Linked DNA regions of Struthio camelus. The protein of the gene in region 1 interacts with the protein of each later gene in a pairwise test. Links are inferred from orthologs where the notes say so. Each region holds a gene or a part of one and is shown in the gene's direction. Other genes may lie near its edges. The genes, in order: LSM3, CLNS1A and LSM10.

Region 1 (7,571 bases):
TGCCTTTCTAGATTCCTGAACTGTATCAGCTCACAAAGAGAACCATCCCAGAGAATATTCTGTGCCCACTTAGCAAAAGTTTAGTTAATGGCTATGCAAATAGGCATGTAGGATGCATATGACTAATAACATATAAACTCCATGTACCTGACTACTGAGAGCTCAGATATATTCGGATAGCCTAAATTCCACCTAATTTTATGTATCTGGAGTTTCCTACCAGACAGCTTTAGACAGCTCCATACAAAACTTATTACTCGCTTTCTGAATTGTCTGTTTTAGATTACTGCTACCCTTACATTCAGTTTCCTGGATAAACAGTTTTCTTTTCACTGACTAAATCTTTTGACTGGGAGACAACAGATATTCTAGTTGCTTTGCAATGAAGGGCTCGTCTGGACAGTGCCCACCCTGTAACAGTGTGAGACACTGCCAGGCCTCCAGCTGCCATGGGAAGAAAGCCCTCCCTGGTAAAATGCTCCCAGACGCTGATGGCATTCATTTGACTCCATCTATTCACCCCCGCAGATATGGCAAACAGAGGCTTTCCACCTTAGCTGTTAGATATTTACAGTAAAATAACACCATTTACCCACAGCTCTCCACGAAGAAACCTATTACTATCCCTGGTTTGGAGATGGGGACACTAATGCACAATGAAGTTAGGGGCCTGATTTTCAAAGAAGCTGAAAAGCCTCCATTCCCACCAACTTCCATTGAAGACTTTTGATAAAAACGTCAGATGAAAAGTCCTCTGTGGATGTAAACTGTCCTCCATCCCATTACCTCAAATCATTCCAAGTCAACAGCCTGCACAGTTTGGGGATTTTCACCCAGAACAGAGCAAATCAGTGACAGTTAACACTGGGCATAGCTTCAACTTTTAAACATCCTTTCACTGCCCCTCACAGCCTCCCCTGTTCTTACCTTCTCTCTCTTTTCTTTGCCTGCTCTGGGGTTTCAATCTCTATCTCAACTGGTTTGCTTGGCAGCTCTGCTGCCGGAACAACAGCATCTTCTTCTAACTTATCCATGACAGGTTCCTGGAGTTCTGGAAAAATAAAATATTATAATTAATCCACATAGAATGGATGCTCTTGGGAGGGCTGCCAATGGGATAAGAACCTACCCGCTCCCAATCATCTGCTCAAACTCAACCTACAAACAGAACGCCCCAGTAATTACCAGTTCTTGCATCTTCTATAGCAGAGTCTGCTCAGCTGTTTTAGGTAGCTGTGGGATGCTAGTCACTCTGCTCTTAAGGAACCCGATCAGCAAAGTCTAATGGCAAGTCACTCTGTCACAAACCCAAACAGGAGAAAGGCCAGTAAAATGATGCAGGTGTGACTTAAAGGGTGCTTGCGGAGGAGAAAAGAAGAAACGGATAGCTCTTCCTGTTAGAAGGCATAAATCTATAGCAGTAAAATATAAAATTATGATCATCATGGTTCTCATCACAGTGTGTTGAGGGGCACCTGACCAAACAGATCAGTTGGTTTCATCTCCATCCTGCCTTGCTAGGAAGTCACAGTTTTGAATCTTCAAACTGTTTCATTCTTAGCTTCTCTAAGGACTAGATAACCCAAACAGCTGAAAAAGTGCTGTGAAGTTGCATCATTTTAACATAATCAGCAGGTTGTCAAATGCAAGGCACTGCATTAGGTCAGTGGTTGTTTTGGTCTTTTTTTACTTTGGAAAAATTCTTAGCATTATTGTGAGATATCAGCTTTAAAAGATACAGATATGCACATGGAAGATACTCTAAGTACACAGAACTCACCTACCTGAATCAAATGAGAAATGGCTGAATAACCAAATTACAAAAAAAAATTGCATATAAGAATATTTACTCCCTAATATGAATAAAATGCAATAAAAGGTTGTTACCTTCCACATCCTCCCATTCATCTTCACTTTCATCATCATCATCGTCAGCATTGTCTTTATCCATCTCTTTTTTAACAGGAGATTCTCTCTTCAAATTTTTCTCCCCCTGAGGTGGCTTCAGTGAGTCACTATGGAAATTATTAAAATGGCTTTAGCATTGGGAAGTGCGGGTGCTTGTTTATTAAAAAAAAAAAAACACAGAGAAAGAGAAACATTAAAAACAGGGAAATAAATGAAGCATGACCTCTGTATCAGTAACAACAGACACAAAGGTTTTGAATATTTGAAGGTATGTGAATACAGATGCCTTCTCTGTAAAGCAAAGCATCTGTGCCATAAACAACCATGGGCTCATTGGGGTAACATTTTTTCCAGTGTAAACTTAAGTCCTGGTTCCGCAAGGCTTTCTAAGAAGGAAGATGCCTGAACGTACAAAAGGTCCCATCCTTCAGAACAGCTTGCACAAACGCGTTCTTGGAGAATTAGTTCACTGAATCATTTCTTCTTACTGAACCTTCATCAAAGTGTACTGAAATCAGAACTGTTTCTGTTTCACCACACATTAGTGGCCAGTTGGCCAGTGGAATGAGACCAACCAATCAGTTTCATGTCTTCTTATTAATTAATTTTGCTATGGCAACCTCCATGGGAAGACCACATTGCTCTTATATTTGGATTCCTAAAAACACAGGGAAATGATATGTTTAAAGGTTTCTGCTGATACTTGTAAACTCAAGTCTCCCCGCAACATTTCTATACATGCTGGGTTCCATGAAACCTCCCTAGCCCCATGAAAAACTAGAATAACAAATTAAAAAAATTTTAGGTTTAAACTATTGAATTTGAAAAGGCTCACGTATCTGCTTCCCCCACAGACCGTCTTCTTCAAGGCCAACTCTGTTTACATTAAGCTACACATACACCAATTTGCAGCACTAGGCCCTAAACAAAAACATATAATCATGAATAAAGAGTTCATATAGGCTCTAAAAATGAACAGTAAGTGAACTTACCTGCACATTTCCTCTTCACTATGACTCCCTTTACTTTCAGTGGTTTTCTTATTTTCTTCTTTTATTACTGATTTTACCCCTTTTTGTTTTGAAGTCTTACTTGTTGAGCTGCAAACTCCAGTACCACAGTCTTCTTCCCTCTTTCTAGCTGGAACTTTTGAGTTTTTCCTTCTTGTATTGGGCTTTTTCTCTTCAAAATCATCCGCACCAGCTAGAAGAAAGGATGAAAGGATGATATGCCAAAGGATGAAATGTCACCTCCACTGCAGTCAGGAGCAATACCTTCACATTGTTCATTAGAGGAGAATTTCACCTACCAGCTACAGAAGAAAGTGAACATTCATAAAGAATACCATTTGAGTATTTGCATAATAAATAGGGAATAACTCAACAACAACAGTTAAAAGAAAATAATTGTAGCGTTAGTAACGTAGTGTTAGTTACTAAACAATAGCAACGTAGTGGGAAAAATACATAAAGATTCCTATAGTCTTACCAATGAGAGCAGCTGAAAAACAAGCATCCTACTTACCACTCGTAAGAAATTATTTTCTTCAGACAACTATTCTGTAAAGCTACTCAGAAGAACTTTATTTAAGGCATCTCCTGGGACGCTGACCACTGAATATAACAGCAACCTTCCAGGTGACACACGGGGGACACTACAGCACGGTGTGTTTTCACAGAAGAGTCATAACTAAGGTCAGCCAGACCCTTAACAGGTCGCTTGCTTCCTGATTTCCAGCCTTTATCAGTGTGTGAAACCCTTAACGTCCTCCAGATAACTTTGTGTGGGCCCTGCTGGACAGTTCGTGCATTGATTTAAATCCCTAATTCATGTATTTCAGTCATACCCCCTCTGGGGCTGTGCAGAAAAGCTAATTCAGTTCAGGGAAGTCACCAAACGATCTTTTACACCTCTGGAAAAATCCAGAGGGAAATATCCCAAACGGAGCGAGGACGTGGGAGAAGCCCGGGATAACGCGGTGTCGCACTACGTAGGCAAACGAGCGGCAGGGACGGACCAAACACGAGTTGAGAGAGCTTCTAGTCTTATTTCATGACCCTTTCCAACACCAGAGGCTGCTGAACTCCAGGGCTGTGCTAAGAGCGAGCTGAAATCCCCTCCGTTTGGGTAACAGAGAAGGTCGCGGAGATCTGGCGGGCATCAGCCCACCTGGAGCCTCCCGCTCCGCCACGAAGCACGGGCGCAGGAGCCCCCGAGCGGCTCGGTGCCCGCCGCGACGGGCCGGGCCGGGCCGGGCCGGGCCCCCCTCACAGGGCCCCGCCACCTCTCAGCTCTACAGAGCGGCTGGATTCCCCTCCGCGCTGCCCCCTGCCCGGTCTTTACGCTCCCCCGTCTTTATTGAAAGAAAACCCAGCTTGCCAACAAGGAGCCGGCGGGATGGGGCGCTCGGTCAGGCCGCGCCGGCCCCCCCGGGGAACGGAGGGGCCCGAGGCCCCGGCGGGACTTCAGCGCCTCCCAGAGATGTCGCGGCGCCCAGCCAGGCCCGCCACAGCCGCCCGCACTCACCCTCCGCCTCGCCCCGCGCCGCCCTCGGCCCCCCGCGCCGCCTCTTGTCGGCAGCCGCCGGCCGGGACGAAGCTTTGCGTTTCCTGGCCATGGCGCCCCGGCGGCGGAGGCGAGCGCCCAAGGGGCTGCCGCGGCAGCGGACGGGCTGTCCCCGCCCGGAGCGGCCGGAGCCGCCCGCCTCCCCGCGCCGTCGGAGGGGAAGGGGCAGGGCCATAAAGTCTCGCGGGAGAGGGCGCGAGGCGGTTTGAAAGATGGCGGATGAGGTGGACCAGGTGAGCGGCTTCTTCTCTCAGCGCGGGAGGCAGCGTGGAGACCTTCCCCGCCGCGGCCCGGCTCTGGCTCCCGGTCTCGGAGCGTTGCGGCGGCGGGGCCCTTCCTGCCGCCATTGCCTAGGCGCCCTCCTTCTCTCCCGCCGCGGGGAGCCGGTTCCCGTGACCGCCAGCCCCGGTAGGGCCGCAGCCCCGGGCCGGGGGGCGCCGGCATGAAATGGCGGCAGTGCCCCGCGGGCTGCTGACGCTCGGCGGCCCGTGGGGGCTCGCGGCGCCCGGCCCGGGCTGCGCCTCCCCCCGCGCAGCCTTCGTGAGGCGCTGCCCGCCCGCCGCACCCGGGCCGAGACGTTACGGCGAAGCTATACGGGGGTATAGCGGGGTCCCCGCGCTGCTGCCGGGGGCTCTGAGTGTGGGGGCTGCTGGCGGTGCCAGTGCCGGGCCGGCCTCCCTGAGGAGCCGCGGGAGGAGGAAGTGAGGAAAACGCCGTTCGTGAGGCTTCGCCGCGGTGGCAATAGGTCGTGTGCTAGGGAAGGTAGACGGGGGTGTTCCTGCGCTTCGGCTGCGGTCCTGAAAGCTCAGCTTTACCACCGAGAGAGCGGCTCAGCCCTGCTGGCGTTCAGGTTTCTGACTCCGCTGTGAGGCCTGGCGTAGCTGATGCCGTTGTGCTGGCGCCTCAGCCAGAGGTGCGTGGCTGGGGCAGGAGGGGCTGTGCGTTACCCAGCTGACCCCAATACGCTGGCGGAAATGAGAGCGTATGTTCACTTTTCCTAGCTTAAGCTGTGTGGTGCCACAGCTGTGGCACTGGCTCCTAAGCTAGCTAGTTCAGAGCTAGTTGTGCAGGCTGGGCTTTGTGCCGCAGCGCGGCCAAGGGTTGCCGATAAGGCATGTGGCCCTTTTGACAGCATTTGTGAAGCACAATTTGTTGCAGCCTAAGTTGAAGCGTGCCAGCTAATTTTGTTCGTGCTGCTAAACGTTCATAGAATGGTAATATCAATTGCCCGAAGATACAGTGGGATTTGAAAGAATGATTCAGAGTTCTTGATTTTGTGTTCTTACCCCTTTCTTTTGTGTTTCTCACCAATACTGAGGAACAGAGATGTTCCCAAGCTGCTTCTGTGTAAATGATTCTTTTTTAATTTGACTTTTCAGCAACAAACAACAAATACTGTAGAGGAGCCACTTGATCTCATCAGACTCAGTCTAGATGAGCGAATCTATGTTAAAATGAGGAATGACAGGGAACTTAGAGGCAGACTACATGTAAGTAGAACACTTTCACAGTACTACAATGCTCGTTTCATGTACAGCAGCCTTCATAATATTACAGGCAAACTTATATAATAACTAGTTTAAAAGCACATGTAACTATCTTGTGATTAAAAGTGCAGAAGTGGTTAGAGAAAGTAAGTTAAAGGTCGTCTTACTGACGGAGGTTGGTCCTCTTTTCTCAGAAGCTTTTTTTTGTGATGACAGTAGCAAAATCTAATTTTTTCAGTATTCTGTCTGCCATAAAATGCTGCTCTAGAGACTCAAGAGGTGTATTTGTTTTTTCTTTCTTAGTCCTCTGGATAACACTGACCAATTCATTCCACTGTTTTTGGCCTTTGTTTCTATGTTTATGAAATGAGCATAATGACGCAGATGCCCTCTTGTAAAGCACATTGAGGTCTATTTAAGATTGAAATAAGAATGAGATTATCATTATCAAACAAATGACTGTTAAGCTACGCCTAATAAGGATACGATGGGATATGTTCTCAACTTGATCCTCTGCAAATCTGACTTGTTTAAGTGCATTCTTTTCTGATAGTGGTGTATCACTTAATGAGAGAGTTTTCTTTTTCTGTTAAGCCAGTCATCCTTCCTGAGTACTTTACTGTGTTGGGGAAGATAACCAGTTGTCCCATATATTAACCAGGCCCCAACTCATTTGGGACCTCAATGATGAGGACATATCCATGAAGATCTGGTTATAGTAATTTCTAATATGGTTTTGGAAGGTATTTGGAACACTTTTGTAAAATTTTTGTTGTGGCTTTCAGTTTTTGTGGGGCTTTAAGTTAGCCCCAGATAATCAATCCCAGGAGGCTGGATTGGTGGCAAAGAATGTATAGCTTGTTTAATGTCAATAAATGACAAGGATAAATATATCTATCAGAGTTTTTGCATGCATTCTCATTGAAAGCTTCAAAGCCATTTCCTGGAAGAGCATTTCTGTGAATATAAAGGCAGTGGGTTTTTTCATGCTGCAGAGTACTGATTTGTCTGCCTTTATATTTGAAAATTTAACTATAACTAATACTACTTTGCTTTAACATAGTGGCACGCTTCCATCAAAATTCTCGTTTTAATGAGCTTGTGTTTGAACTTTGTAAAAATAATAATGAGCTTCATTCCTACAGGCATATGATCAGCACCTAAATATGATTTTGGGTGATGTTGAAGAAACTGTAACAACAATAGAGATTGATGAAGAAACCTATGAAGAGATTTATAAAGTAAGGAGTTCAGTGTATTTATCCTTGTAGAAAGATGTGTGGTGGTGGTGTTTTTTTTTTAAACTAAACAATGTTATCTGTTTGAAATAGGCTATTGCTAGTACTTATTGGGCCAAGCTCTGACAAAAGTTTCAGGCAGATTCTTATGAAAGTATGAAGTGTCCAAAGACTTAGTATTAATTGTACTGATCTCTTCAGTATGCCAATAAGTTGCAAAGTCAAGCTTACTTTTGTTGGAGTTTTCTGGTGTTTTTTATGATTGAATTTGGTCACATACTTATCAGATGTGTTCTGTCAACTATACTTTTGTAAATGTAAACTTTTCTTTCCTTCTTCTTAGTCTACCAAAAGGAATATTCCGATGCTCTTT
Region 2 (7,526 bases), on another chromosome or scaffold:
GATAGGCCTGGTTACCCGTGCTCCGTTTGTTTGTTAGAGCAATTTAAGGTCCTTAATAGCTACTAACCTGCTACTCAAGTTAGCGGTAGAAAAGGAAATCAGATCATAAAGCTGTATGCCTTGTTTGGTTTTCCATTTCATACTCATTATATGGACTCTAAATTATTGTACAGTATCTTATTCCTATACTATATTCATTAAAATGGTACTCCTCCCCCTAACTTACATTAAAATAATTTGTCTTAAATGCCAATGCGGTTGCTAGTTTCTACCTGTGTTTCACAGTCCTCCTTAAGAATAGATCTGTAGCAGCCGTGAGACGGTTATTTGACTGATTCAGAAGTTTAATGTCACTGTCCTTGGTGTGCATGATGGTTCTCAAATAGGCACAAACCCTGTATATTAGATGTGAACATCAGGTATTTTCACTGTCCCAATTAACACAGAGCAGGTCACTTGCTAGCAGAATGGTTACCCTCCGATATTCTGTGACAATTAGATCGAAACTGCCACATAGGTCTCGTACAATTGAAGATCTGCTTACATGAAATACAGTTTCGTCTTACTCCTGTGTGCTGTTTTGATATGTTTGCAGAGAAACCTGGAGTTCCTTACAAATGGCCTCGCTCACAGTTGGCCTCGTTTTTGTTTCTTTCTCTAGAGAGTTAACGCAGTAAAGTTGCAAAAGCTGAGCTCTTTGTGGAGTTTAACCCTGGCATTTCTTGAGTCCTGAACCTTGATTTTTAAACCTCTTTTCAATCATGACTTGCTACGATAGCAAAGGGAAAGGACCGAGGGACACACACTGTGTGTGTGGGAAGGGGGAAAATATGTTGAAAAAACTGGAAGTGTTATTCTTGTTGCACAGAAATTGGGTGGTGCTTTCACTGTCTCTTTTTCCCCACAACTAATATCACGTGCATGTAAAACATGATGCATTAAAAAACTTTTTAAAACGGAAGTCATGGTGGCCTCAGTGCTCAAAGGGTTAACTGCAGTTTAATAACAGCTAATGTTCTTAGATTTGCAGTACACAACTGTTTAAATACTGTATTCCTTGTAAATGAAGTAAAAAAAAAAATGTTAAGGCTGGTGCCAATATTTTTGTTAATGAATTGTTCAGCGTTGTCTCTCACTACAGTCTGGTCAGATCTCTTTGTGTATAAGCTGGGCCTGAAGCCATTTTATAGCTTGTAGGCCTAATTGTGTAACTTTTCTTTCATAATGTTTTTGTTATAATATCTACTGTCATTTCTTTCATATAAATATGACATGTAAATTGTCATAATAAAAAAAAAATTGAAATAACTCGACGTACAAAGTATAATGTGTATTGAAGAAGTAAGTTTGCTTTTTAATGATCATCACCCATGCACCTCCTGGAGGGGTATCTTTTTGCCTGACTTTTAAAATAAGCGCTGAGTAACGGCTGCTGCATTTCATTCCAGCCTTTCCCAGTGATACTGCCCGGCCTAGGAACGAGCAACTACTGTTTTGTGTTGATTTTTGTTATGACAGTTCAGCTGACGGAGCTTTTCCTTTGAGCAGCTGTAGCTGACAGTGAGGAAGACCCGAAGGACCTATTTTTGCACTTGTGATGATTTGTCTTTGTAGGTTCCCTCTTCTACATCCTTTTTATATATAATTGCAGAGTGATGTTGCCGTCACTTGAAAGCCAGTAGCATGAGCAGGGCTCAGTGTTGGTCTTAACGCTGCAGCATCCACTTCACTTGCTGCCGGAGTTGCCTAACTGCTGAATTACAACTGTGAATTCTTGCTCCTAGGGAGCAAATCTTCCTGTTACCAGTTTTTGCTTGCATCGGTCATACTGTTTGTGCGACTCGCGGCCAAGAGCGTCCCCAGCTAGGCTTTTCAAGCATACATCTATGACATTTCCACATAGTACTAATGAGAGAGGACCTGGGTTCCTTTATTTGGGCAGAGACCTGAAAAGCCACCGTATACAAGCCGGTAGAGAAACACTAAAATGTAGGCTTTGGGGCATGTGACTATGGTAACGGGCACTGACAGCGTTACGTGAACTGAGGTCAAACTGCTGCCTGTTCCCGTACTGATGAGATACTGCTGTGAACTCCAGCCTCGTGCTCCAACCTAAATGCCAAAATTTTACACTTGCATTTTTAACGAGCTCTGGGTGTGATTCATGTCACCTTACGCTAGATGTCTTAAGCCTGAGCTGGCCACTGTACTCGACGCAGTGCGGTGTCGTCGGTGGAGAGAGACAGGCACCCTCAGATGACTTTTAACCACCCTTTGAAGGTACCTACCTCTCTCCACTGGCTCGAAATGCGGCCTAGGCTAAGTCACAGTTGGACATCTAATGTGTAGACACCAGTGCTGGGGATCCTGATCCTGAAGAAAAAAAAAAAAAGCTTTCAAATAGAAGCTCTGTTCTGTTTCTCTTGTGAATTTATGGACAACTGGAAATGTCTGCTTGCTCACTCAACTCTCCAGAGTGGAGTAATGAATTAAAAAGCCAGCTTTCGCTATGTCACTGCTTATCTTGGTAAGGACAGGTTGGTATGTTTACTTGTCACTGTTCGGTACTGGGGTATGAAGTATCTATAAAATAGGAAGATGTGGCTTTCTTTTCCTCCCTTAAGGCCCCAGACCTCAAAACGAATGCCCTGCCTTGTCCAAACCATCCTTCCTCCTTTCTCCTTTAAAGAAGTGTATTTTGTGACACAAGAAAAATAGCATTTATGTGCAGAAGGAAGAATGAACTCTACACTGATCCACTGCAGTGGCTTAATTCAGCTTTAACCATTCAGTTGTTCTGATTTAAAATAATCTAATGGAGTTGTCACACAATTTCCAGTCAGGGGGTGAGCACTCACTCTACAGGGGTGCTGAGGGCAGTGCATATCAGATCACTGGGGGTGGAAACGAGCAGGAATGTTGATTTTATAACCTCTACGTGTGATGAACGGGCATTTTCATATATTTGCGCCTCATCCCGCCAGTTGCTGTAATCTGATCTGTATTCGTGGATGAATTGTAGAACTTCCTTACCATCAGACGGGCATTTCTGTACTGTTTGGGCATGGCAAACCCGAAGATGGCTGAGAAACTTCTGTTTCCTCATCTCTTATTGCTTCTGTCAGTGTTTCGAGCTATCCTAACAATGTTTAAATACCACTTCATTGTGGAAGTTGCTTTCTGTCACGGTGGTTATTTGCATGAATAATAATTGTTGCATAATTGGAATCCGGAATGGATAGGATGGGCTGATCAAAACATTTTAAAAAGCTCAGCCTAGAAGAATTATGTATGTTCTGGTTCCCTTTGTTTCTTCACACATTTTCTTTTTCCAGAATGCCTTTCTTTGGCCCTTGGCCACCCAAGACTAGAATAAGAAAAGTCCAGAGAAGGAAAAATTGGAAGAGCTAATGCTGTTAACAATCTGCTCCTGTGCGTAAGAACCTGAGCTTGCCAAGAGGTAGGTAAATCAACTCCTTAGAAGTGAATTGAAGCTGCTGAAAGAGAAGATGGAAAACCATGACAGCAAGCTAGCCAGCTGCACAGGCGCTTCGTGAGTCTGCTGTTGCCCCGCTAACGTGGAAGCACTGGTCAACCTCAAAAGGTTTGTCCGGTCGGAGAGAAGATTGCCGTGGTGCTGCCTCACCGAGAGAGCCACCGGGAGAGTCTTCCGACAGGGACGTTTTCACTGGTGCAGCCTGAACGCGGTGATTTATTCCATCACCCTGTAGAGGTGTAATCCCGGCCTTCAACCAGAGACCACCAGCTGCTCGCCCGGGGGTGACGCACCGCAGAGATCCCCCAGCGGGACCCAGCTCCCGATCCCGGCGGCGTTTTATTTCCCCCTTTTGAGGGGAAACAGGGTCTCCAGGCCCGAAGCGGGGTGCCGCTGCCCTTCACGGACGCCGGCCCGGCCCGGCCGTCGCTTTGGCGCTCCCCTCCGCTCGCGTCTGCTCCGCCACGGGGAGTTTTAACTCAAGGATCTGCGGGACGTGGATGCTGCTCGGCTACAGGCTGGGCCTCAGGGCGGGTGTTTTTGGGGTGAGACCCCCTGCTTTGCTGCGCGGAGGGGCAGAGGAGGGGGGGGGATCCGCGCCGTGGAGAGAGGCGCCGCTGAGCGACCCCGAAGGGGCGGATCCCGCTGTTTCTGTGCCCCCACCTTTCCCCTCACCCCTCACTTATTCTACTGTACAGCGGCAGCAGAGGAGGGCAGCGCCAAAAGCGCCGATTACTGATTCCCCCCCCCGCCCCACAACCCCTGTTTTTCCGCTCGCAGCTCGGCGACGCCGTCTGCAACATGGCGGCGGCTGCGGCGCCGAGGCCACGTGACCCCCTCACACGGCCTCCCCTGCCATAGAGCGGTGCCTAGAGCGGCTGGCGTGCGTTCGTCTCGCTGCTCCCTCCCTCCTCTCCCCGCGGGGGCGGAGCGGCGCGTTCTGCTTCCGGGTGGCCGTGCGGGCGGGGAGGAGGCGGCGGCGGCGGCGCAGGCGGCGGCCCAGGCCCAGGCCCGGCCCGGCCGCGCGGTGCCATGAGTTTCCTGAAGCGGTTCCCGCCGCCGGCCGAGGGCGTCCGCCATCAGCAGCCCGACACGGAGGCGGTGCTGGCGGGGCGCGGCCTGGGCGCCGGCACTCTGTACATCGCCGAGAGGTGCGGGGAGGAAGCCGTCGGCGGGCCGGGTGGGGCGAGGGGTAACGGTCTTTCTCCTCCTCCTCTCAGGCCGAAGGGGGTCTGTGTGTGGGGGGGGGGTCTCCTTTGAGGGGCCTGTGGGGGGGGAGACCGTGGGAGGGGGTCCCCTCTGGGGGAGGGGAAGCTCTATGTGGGGGTCTCCCCTGAGGGGAGTGGGGGGGGTCTACCCCGGGGGGGGAGCTCTGTGGGGGGACCTCCCCTGAGGGGCCTGGGAGGGGGAGACCGTGGGGGGGGGGTCTACCCTGGTGGGGGGAGCTCTGTGGGGGGGTCTCTCCTGAGGGGACTGGTTGGGGGGACCGTGGGGGGGGGCTGCCCTGAGGGGGGGGAGCTCTGTGTGGGGGTCTCTCCTGAGGGGACTGGGTGGGGGGACTGTGGGGGGGGGGTCTACCCTGGTGGGGGGAGCTCTGTGTGGGGGTCTCCCCTGAGGGGACTGGTTGGGGGGACCGTGGGGAGGGGGGTCTACCCTGGTGGGGGGAGCTCTGTGTGGGGGTCTCCCCTGAGGGGCCTGCTGTGCGGGGCGGGGTCTGGTCTGCGGACGTGGCACCTCTCCTCCGCGGGCAGAGGCGGTGGTCGCGGCCGTGGGTTCTCTGCTCCGCTCGCGGTTTCCGCGCTTCTGTGAAATCCGTCGCGTCATTCACGTGGATGTTGTGCGTTTGTACTTGGCAGAAGTCAGTTAGGTTGTTCCAGAAGAACAGATGTTATATATACGCTCTTTATAGTTTCTTTTATGTTCTCCTTGCGGCGTACGGTTACAGAGGGCGGTTTGTTGTTTAAGGCAATGTATTATTTTTTAATCGGGGAAAAGCCCTCTCAATATGCTTCTTTGTAATGGAAAAGTGTCTTTAGAAGAATCAGATGATCTAAAATACTCACTGAGGAATGTATTGCCTTCTAAAACATCTAGATCCTGAAACTTTCTTAAAATTGGTGATATTATGTGTGAGAACCACCTGAGCCAGCACTCATGTGTCGTATTCCTCTTGTAGCAGAAGCTGACTGGGCTTTCAAACACCGCTTTGTTTAGTTGTTTGGTTGCAGATACAAGGGCTTGTGTTCACACGGGTATGCTTTCCATATGTATAACGCTGAGTTTCCTTGTGTCTTGCTTTCAATGGATTTGTTGTATGAGGCTCACACGAGCCTGCCAGCTTTCTCCCAGAACATTGCTAGTATGCTACAAAGCTTCTACCAGAGTCTCTCTCTCTGGTAGAGAATAGAAAGAGCCATCGTATGCGGGAGTCCCATCCTGTGGGAGCACAGTGAGGCTTTGGATCCAAGTACTGACTCTGCGGTAACAACTGTAAACACTGAGGACTGGCCGATCCAGGTTAGGAAAGAAGTTCCTCGCTCCCACTTCGTTAGCTCTTGTTCTTAGCCTGATTTCCTGAGGCGAGGAATCTTCTGTGACCGTTCCCGTTTTCATCCCCCAGCCAAAAGAGTTGAACAGCCTGTCGACTGTCACGAGCGGCAGAGGTCTCAGCTTCTGCCGCTTGGTATTTCTGTGAGGCATGTGACCTCACTGGTCACAGACCACCCAAAACTATTTCTTTGGTTTGTCAGCTGCTTGAAGTACGGTGATTTTTCTGATATGAAAGAGGTAGCAGCCCACTGGCAGCTGCGTAGCTCTGAGCTGGGCCCAACTTGTGCTGTCTCAAGTTGCGGTGAGAGTGAAAACGTGGGGAATCAGAGGTTAGAGTATATAAGGCATGAGATAAAACCACAACTTTGTTGGTTTTGCTGATCACAAAACTAGTTGTTTTCCCACATGCCGCTCGTTTGTAGAGGCAGTACTCACATCAGAGTTGTTCTCAAGAAGTTGTGATGGTGATCTTCCTTCCCTAGTGTACACTTGGTCTTGAAAAAACATGGAATATTTGATGGTTTGAGTTATAAATTATACACTGGAACCTGTGCAGTTATCCTTGTGGTGATATATCATCTACAGGGTATAGAAACTGAAGAGGTAGGGAGAAAAAACTCAGTCTTTATTGCAAATGTAATAAAGCTGAAGTTTGTTTAGGGTGCTCAGATTCATGTTTCTTATGAAAAGGGTTCTCTTACCTTTAAATATAAGCTATGCTGTTGCAAGGTGCTGTTAAGACAGTTCCAGGATCACACATCAGTAGAGAACGGGGCAAACGGGGTAAGTGCCTTGTCCGGGGTAAGTGCCTTGTCCGCCTTTTGAGGAATTACTCTTTTTGTTTGGGTTGATTTGCTTTTCTAAAGGTGTGAGCCAGGTGCCTTGGATTCCTTTGTGAGTCTCTAACTGGTCTCTCTCTTCCCCTTTTTTAGTCGCCTGTCTTGGCTGGATAACTCTGGACTTGGGTTCTCCTTGGATTATCCCACCATCAGTTTACATGCTGTCTCCAGGGACCTAAATGCCTACCCGTGGGAACATTTGTATGTCATGGTGAATGCTAAATTTGAAGGTATGCCCCAAATGTTGCTTACTGTTTTTATGCTGTCCTGAATGGCAGGATTTCTTCCTCAAACTGTCAGTTATGAAAGGGAGTAAACTGTGCATTTGAAAAGTATATGGTTCCTTTAAATGGTATCTTGTGGTTTCTCTTTTTCATTTCGCTGAAGGAGGATTATTTTAGAAGAATAGCTTTGCCCTGGCTTATAGTCCCTTCTGTGCTGTTCTGCATTGCAGCATGAGATTATGTGCTGCTGGAGCCACTGAACTTCAACTCTCTCCTCCCTTGTACTTACTTTAAACAATTTTATTCACCTGCTGCCTGCCTGTGATCCCAGGGCTTACATATCGTTCTTGCTTTACTGAATTTCTGTTACTATTGCAACCTTCTTCAGGTTTTGTGCCTGGTGCTTCATGTTAACCT
Region 3 (4,870 bases), on another chromosome or scaffold:
TAGATCAGTATGCCCATCCTCTGGACCACAGTTATAACACAGGCCAAAGCTAGTCATACATAATCTTTATATACATCAAAATCTCTAAGAACCCAATCCATGCCATGCCTAGGCAGAAAAGCTGCAAGGTCAGACTTCCGAGAACTTGCATCAGAAGATACTTAACTGACGTTCTTGTGGGTGGAATATTCTTTTGCAGGTCTCCATCTTTCTGAAGGATAAAGTACAAAATTCCAATGGCCGCTTTGTGCTGCCAATATCGGGCCCTGTTCCATGGGGTACAGAAATTCCAGGACTCATCAGGTACATTTTTGAACCATTGTTTATGAAGTTTGTAGCGCCTTGCATGCATGGCTGCTCACGAAGGAACAGTTAGTCCCCGATGTCTAATAAGAATCATGCCTAGACTGTCACTTACGGTGCATGGATATCTGAACATCTAATAAGTATTATATATAGGGCAGGATCTGGAACTGAGTCGCCCAGTAATGAAACATTAAGCATGTTTTTGTCATCCCCTATTTCAGATACTTAGATGTTATTTATCCTTTAAAATAGGCTCCCATCAATTTACAGAACAGAGTTTTATTCCCCTTTCTTGTAAAACAAACAAAGCAAGTCAGTACTGAAATTTACTACTAAACATGTTTCAATAACGACTTGTTTTTAAGGATGTTTAATCACAATGGAGATGAGGTTAAAAGAACTGAATTCACCACTGATGGAAATTATGTTACTCCACAAAGGGAAGGATCTTTTGATCTTTATGGAGACAGAGTCCTTAAACTTGGAACAAATATGTAAGTCACTTTTGTCCTACATAGAAACGTGAAAGTAAATGCTGATGGCTATATGCTTGTCCAGAAGGACGGCATCAGCCTTGTTTACTTATTTTTGCCTCTTTCTCTATGATCAGCTTGACTCTTTCACAGAATGATCTTCTGAAACAAAACATACCTAGCAATAGATGTGTATAAATAAAGACAGTCACAGTTTAATTCATGTCTAGAGTAGAGCTGAGCAAAGAGTGTTCTCATCTGGTACTGCATATTCTCTGGAATGTGATTTCATGTTAACTGCATTCAAGGGATGCTTTTTTTTTCCTGTTTGTCTGACGTAATTTTTTCCATTCACAGAGCAAGAGACAGCAGCGTTCGTTCTTATAGTTTCGTCACTTGCACATTTTAATGCATCAATATTCCATAAAACTGAATCAAAACTTTTACTTTTTCTTCAGAAAAATATTGCTAAACCACATTCGGATCCTGTTGCTCCATTCTATTCCACTATCAATGCAGCTAATGGGGAGCTCTTCCTTGTATATTTTTTCTCACTAGGTACAGTGTTAGCCGGCCAGTAGAGACACACATGGCAGGATCATCCAAAAGCTTGGCATCCCATGCAAAGGTCAGTGTTCTCAGTCTATAAATTCAACCAACCATTTTAAATGTGTAACTGATATAATTATGACTTACCTGCACTATCTCCACCATTAAAAATACAGAAATATATTTACATCACTTTGAAAAATATTTATCTAATATGAGAAATGACCAAACTATTGCAGTCCTCATTTTCCTGTTAATCTGGCCATTTAACCCATTACTGTTTTTTACAGGAGAATACAGCCCCTAATCCTCTTGCCAAAGAAGAGATGAACTTTTTGGCCAGGCTAATAGGAGTTCTGGAGATCAAGAAACCTGGTGGCAATGAGACAGGATTTCGACTAAACTTGTTCACGACAGACGAGGAGGAAGAGTATGCTCGAGTTGTGCTTGGTTGGGGTTTGTGATTTAGTCCCATGTGGACAGTCCTGGAGACTGAAGCTGAGCCTTAACAGCCTTAGGGACAGAATAAGCAGTCTTTGTAGTATCTCCTTATCCTGGTGCAGATAGTCCCTGAAGGAACACAAGGAACAGCAGTTTCCCTGGCTTGACCTTTTTTTTGGGACTAGCAGCAAGGAGACGCATTTGCGTTACTGGTGTTTCACTTGTGATGCAAGCTCTTGTCCTTGGGACTGCTTGTCCCTTGAAGTGAGACTGGCAGATCACCAGTCTGTGACCATCTGTGCTTAGGTCCTGTCACACAGAACTGAAACAACGTACATCCCTTCAGCTCCTTTAGCTCTCCCATCCCCCAAATGAATACATACTTATCTCCTGAAATATACATATCTTAACAATTGATCAGTGGTGATAAGCCTAACAGGCTTGACTACCTTAGCTGCTTCCTAGCAGGGAGCAAAAGGGTAATGAGACATTTCATTATTTGATTTCTGCAGAATTTTTTTTGCAGAAATTTTTGCAGATTTGTTTTATTTGCAACTAAAGAGAGACTCTCACTGTTCTACAGCTAGCATAAGAAATCCAAGACAGGGATAAGACTGCAAACTGGGATTAATGTATTAATTTGCCTAGTAAAAATAGCAAAGTTGTCTAAACTTCATGTCCACAGCAGCCTCATGAATCTGATTCTGTTTTCATCACTTACTGGTATGTCATCGTGAGATTAAGCACTTTTTTCATGTTTTCAATCAAGGCACGCAGCATTGACTAGACCAGAGGAGTTATCTTACAAAGTTATCAACATAGAAGCCACTCAGGTATGTACGGTGTATTTCTGATCTTTTGATTCTAATCGTTCTTTCCTTGCTAAGAACTGAGTTTTACCTGTGGTAGTGACTTAAAAATATATAGATGTGTTGTGTTCAAATTCAGTTAAGCTCGTGATAAGTAATGGAAATATAGTCTACTAAGTTTGTAGATATAGTAATTACTGAGTAATAGAACTTGAAATATTTGAATATTTCAAATATTTGAATTCCAAATATTTGCAGCTTTCTCACTTATTAGAACAAGTTTTAAGACCAGATGGACTAGAGAACGCATACCGGATCATGCCTAATGCCTGTAAACCCTTAAATCACCTCCTTAATTTTAACAGGCAATTGGGCATCTCTGAATAGGGCTGCAATACTGTGGTACTTTTACAGGGGAGAATCCCAGCCGGTGTCAGGAACACAGGCGGGAGCACCGTCAGCCCAGGAGAGGCAGTTGTCGGCAGATTAACGGGGGGAGCAGTACCCCTGCGCTCGCTTGTGGCACGCCGGGGCTGCGGGGGCCGGGGGCGCAGGCTGAGGCTGTCTCTCTCCGCGCAGGACCCGGGGCGGCAGGAGGAGCTGGCCCGCATCCTGGGGGAGCTGGAGGTGGCGGAGCAGCGCCCGGCCAGCACGGCCAAAGGCGAGGACCTGCTGGCGCTCATGGACGGGCTCTGACCGCCCGCCGCACCATTAAATACGCTGTTCCCAGCCTGGCACCGAGCGAGAGTCCGGGGCCGGGGGCGGGCGGGCGGCGCCGGGGCCGGGGGCGGGCGGGCGGCGCTCGGGGGCGGGCGGCTCCGGGGCGGTTCGGGGGCCGGGGCCGCACTGCGCACGCGGCCGCTCCGCGCCGCCCCTTCCTGCCGCCGGGCCGCGCGGGTGAGTGTGCCGGGGAGGAGGGAAGCACATGCACGCGAGCGTGCAAGGGGGGGCGGGCAGCGTGCACGCCCGTGTGCGCGGGGATCCAAGCGGCGCGTGGCCGCGGGAGAGGGGCAGCGGGCGGGTGGGTGTGCGGGGGGGCGCCTGCAGAGCGAGAGTGCGAGCAGCGGGAGTGGGCGTGCGGGTGAGCGTGCAAGAGGAGGAAGACAGTTTGTACGTGCGTGTGCAAGGAGAGGAGGGCGGTGTGCACCTATGTGCGTGTGCAAGGGGAGAGGGGGTGGTATGTACACCAGTGTGCAAGGGGAGGAGTGTGAAAGCATGCAAGGGAGATGCAGTGCATTTCTTTGGTGGCTGCACCGCAGCATGTGCCCCGGGACACAGAGTCTGGCTGACCTGCCCCTGGGGGAGCGGGCAGTGGGGCAGGCAGGTGCTGGTCAGAGCGCTGCATGGCGTCTCCTGTTCCTCTGCTACAGCGGCGCGATGGAGGTCAGCCACTCTGTCAAGGAGCGCACCATTGCCGAGAACAGTCTGGTCATCCTTCTGCAGGGCCTGCACGGCCATGTCACCACTGTGGACCTCCGTGATGAGAGCACAGCCACTGGGCGCATCACCAACGTGGACGCCTTCATGAACGTGCGCCTGTCTGAGGTGACCTTCACAGACAGGCAGGGCACAGTGTCCCACCTGGATGAGCTCTTTATAACCGGCAGGAACGTCCGCTATGTTCACATCCCCGACGAGGTGGACATCAGGGCCACCATCGAGCGTCAGCTGCAGGCAATCCACAGGATCCGCTATTTTGGAGGCCGTGACAAGGGCAGGAAGGAGTTCCCTCGAGCGAGGCACAAGTGATCCTTCCTGGTGCTGCCGTATCTCCAGCTCCAGCACGGACCCTGGCGCCACGTGCACGGGAAGGCAAGGACAGGTGTGTCCCCTCTTGACAGGACACTGGGACTTTCTGCCAGCTGCCTCCACACCTTGCCCTGGGCATCCCTCCCAGGGACACAGGGCTCTGCTTCTCCCCTGGCTGGTGCCTATGGGAGAGCGGGGGGATCCTCAGTGCGAGGTTATTTTTTTAATGAATAACCCTGCTTTAAAGGATCTGTGATTTCTCTTTTTTTTTTTTTTTTTTTCCAGCTCATTTCCTGTTTGCTTGGCAGCTACTCTGTATCCCTTCTCTCACTGCTCACCATTCTTCTCAAACAAAGCCCTTTTGGTCAGAAGCCACAGTTTGGTGTTATTGCTTGGCTGTGGTCTCCCACAGGCATCCTACTGCTCTCACAGCTTTGCCTTCCTGGCTAGTGGAGACTGGGACCCCACTGCTATGGGTACCTCTGTCCGCAGGAGATTGAGCGCTGTGGAAAGGGGGTCAGGAGGAGATGGAGGCCATGAGAC

The links.
Region 2: the proteins of LSM3 (region 1) and CLNS1A interact in binary tests that used the Homo sapiens proteins (3 or more experiments, as listed by UniProt). The link is inferred for Struthio camelus from reciprocal best matches to the Homo sapiens genes LSM3 and CLNS1A.
Region 3: the proteins of LSM3 (region 1) and LSM10 interact in binary tests that used the Homo sapiens proteins (3 or more experiments, as listed by UniProt). The link is inferred for Struthio camelus from reciprocal best matches to the Homo sapiens genes LSM3 and LSM10.

What each region holds. Positions count from the first base shown.
Region 1 is NC_090955.1:9,034,523-9,042,093, forward strand, and holds the start of LSM3 (U6 snRNA-associated Sm-like protein LSm3), read left to right. Parts: upstream 1-4,542; 5' UTR 4,543-4,685; coding exon 4,686-4,706; intron 4,707-5,852; coding exon 5,853-5,963; intron 5,964-7,105; coding exon 7,106-7,201; intron 7,202-7,541; coding exon 7,542-7,571. Other genes in the region: XPC (DNA repair protein complementing XP-C cells), read right to left, coding at 928-1,051, 1,888-2,015, 2,901-3,111, 4,435-4,525. UniProt on the Homo sapiens protein: Plays a role in pre-mRNA splicing as component of the U4/U6-U5 tri-snRNP complex that is involved in spliceosome assembly, and as component of the precatalytic spliceosome (spliceosome B complex).
Region 2 is NC_090942.1:220,530,875-220,538,400, forward strand, and holds the start of CLNS1A (methylosome subunit pICln), read left to right. Parts: upstream 1-4,429; 5' UTR 4,430-4,528; coding exon 4,529-4,647; intron 4,648-6,978; coding exon 6,979-7,115; intron 7,116-7,526. UniProt on the Homo sapiens protein: Involved in both the assembly of spliceosomal snRNPs and the methylation of Sm proteins.
Region 3 is NC_090964.1:10,314,964-10,319,833, reverse strand, and holds LSM10 (U7 snRNA-associated Sm-like protein LSm10), read left to right. Parts: upstream 1-3,955; coding exon 3,956-4,327; downstream 4,328-4,870. Other genes in the region: protein OSCP1, read left to right, coding at 200-303, 672-800, 1,338-1,407, 1,619-1,758, 2,539-2,602, 3,158-3,274. UniProt on the Homo sapiens protein: Appears to function in the U7 snRNP complex that is involved in histone 3'-end processing. Increases U7 snRNA levels but not histone 3'-end pre-mRNA processing activity, when overexpressed. Required for cell cycle progression from G1 to S phases.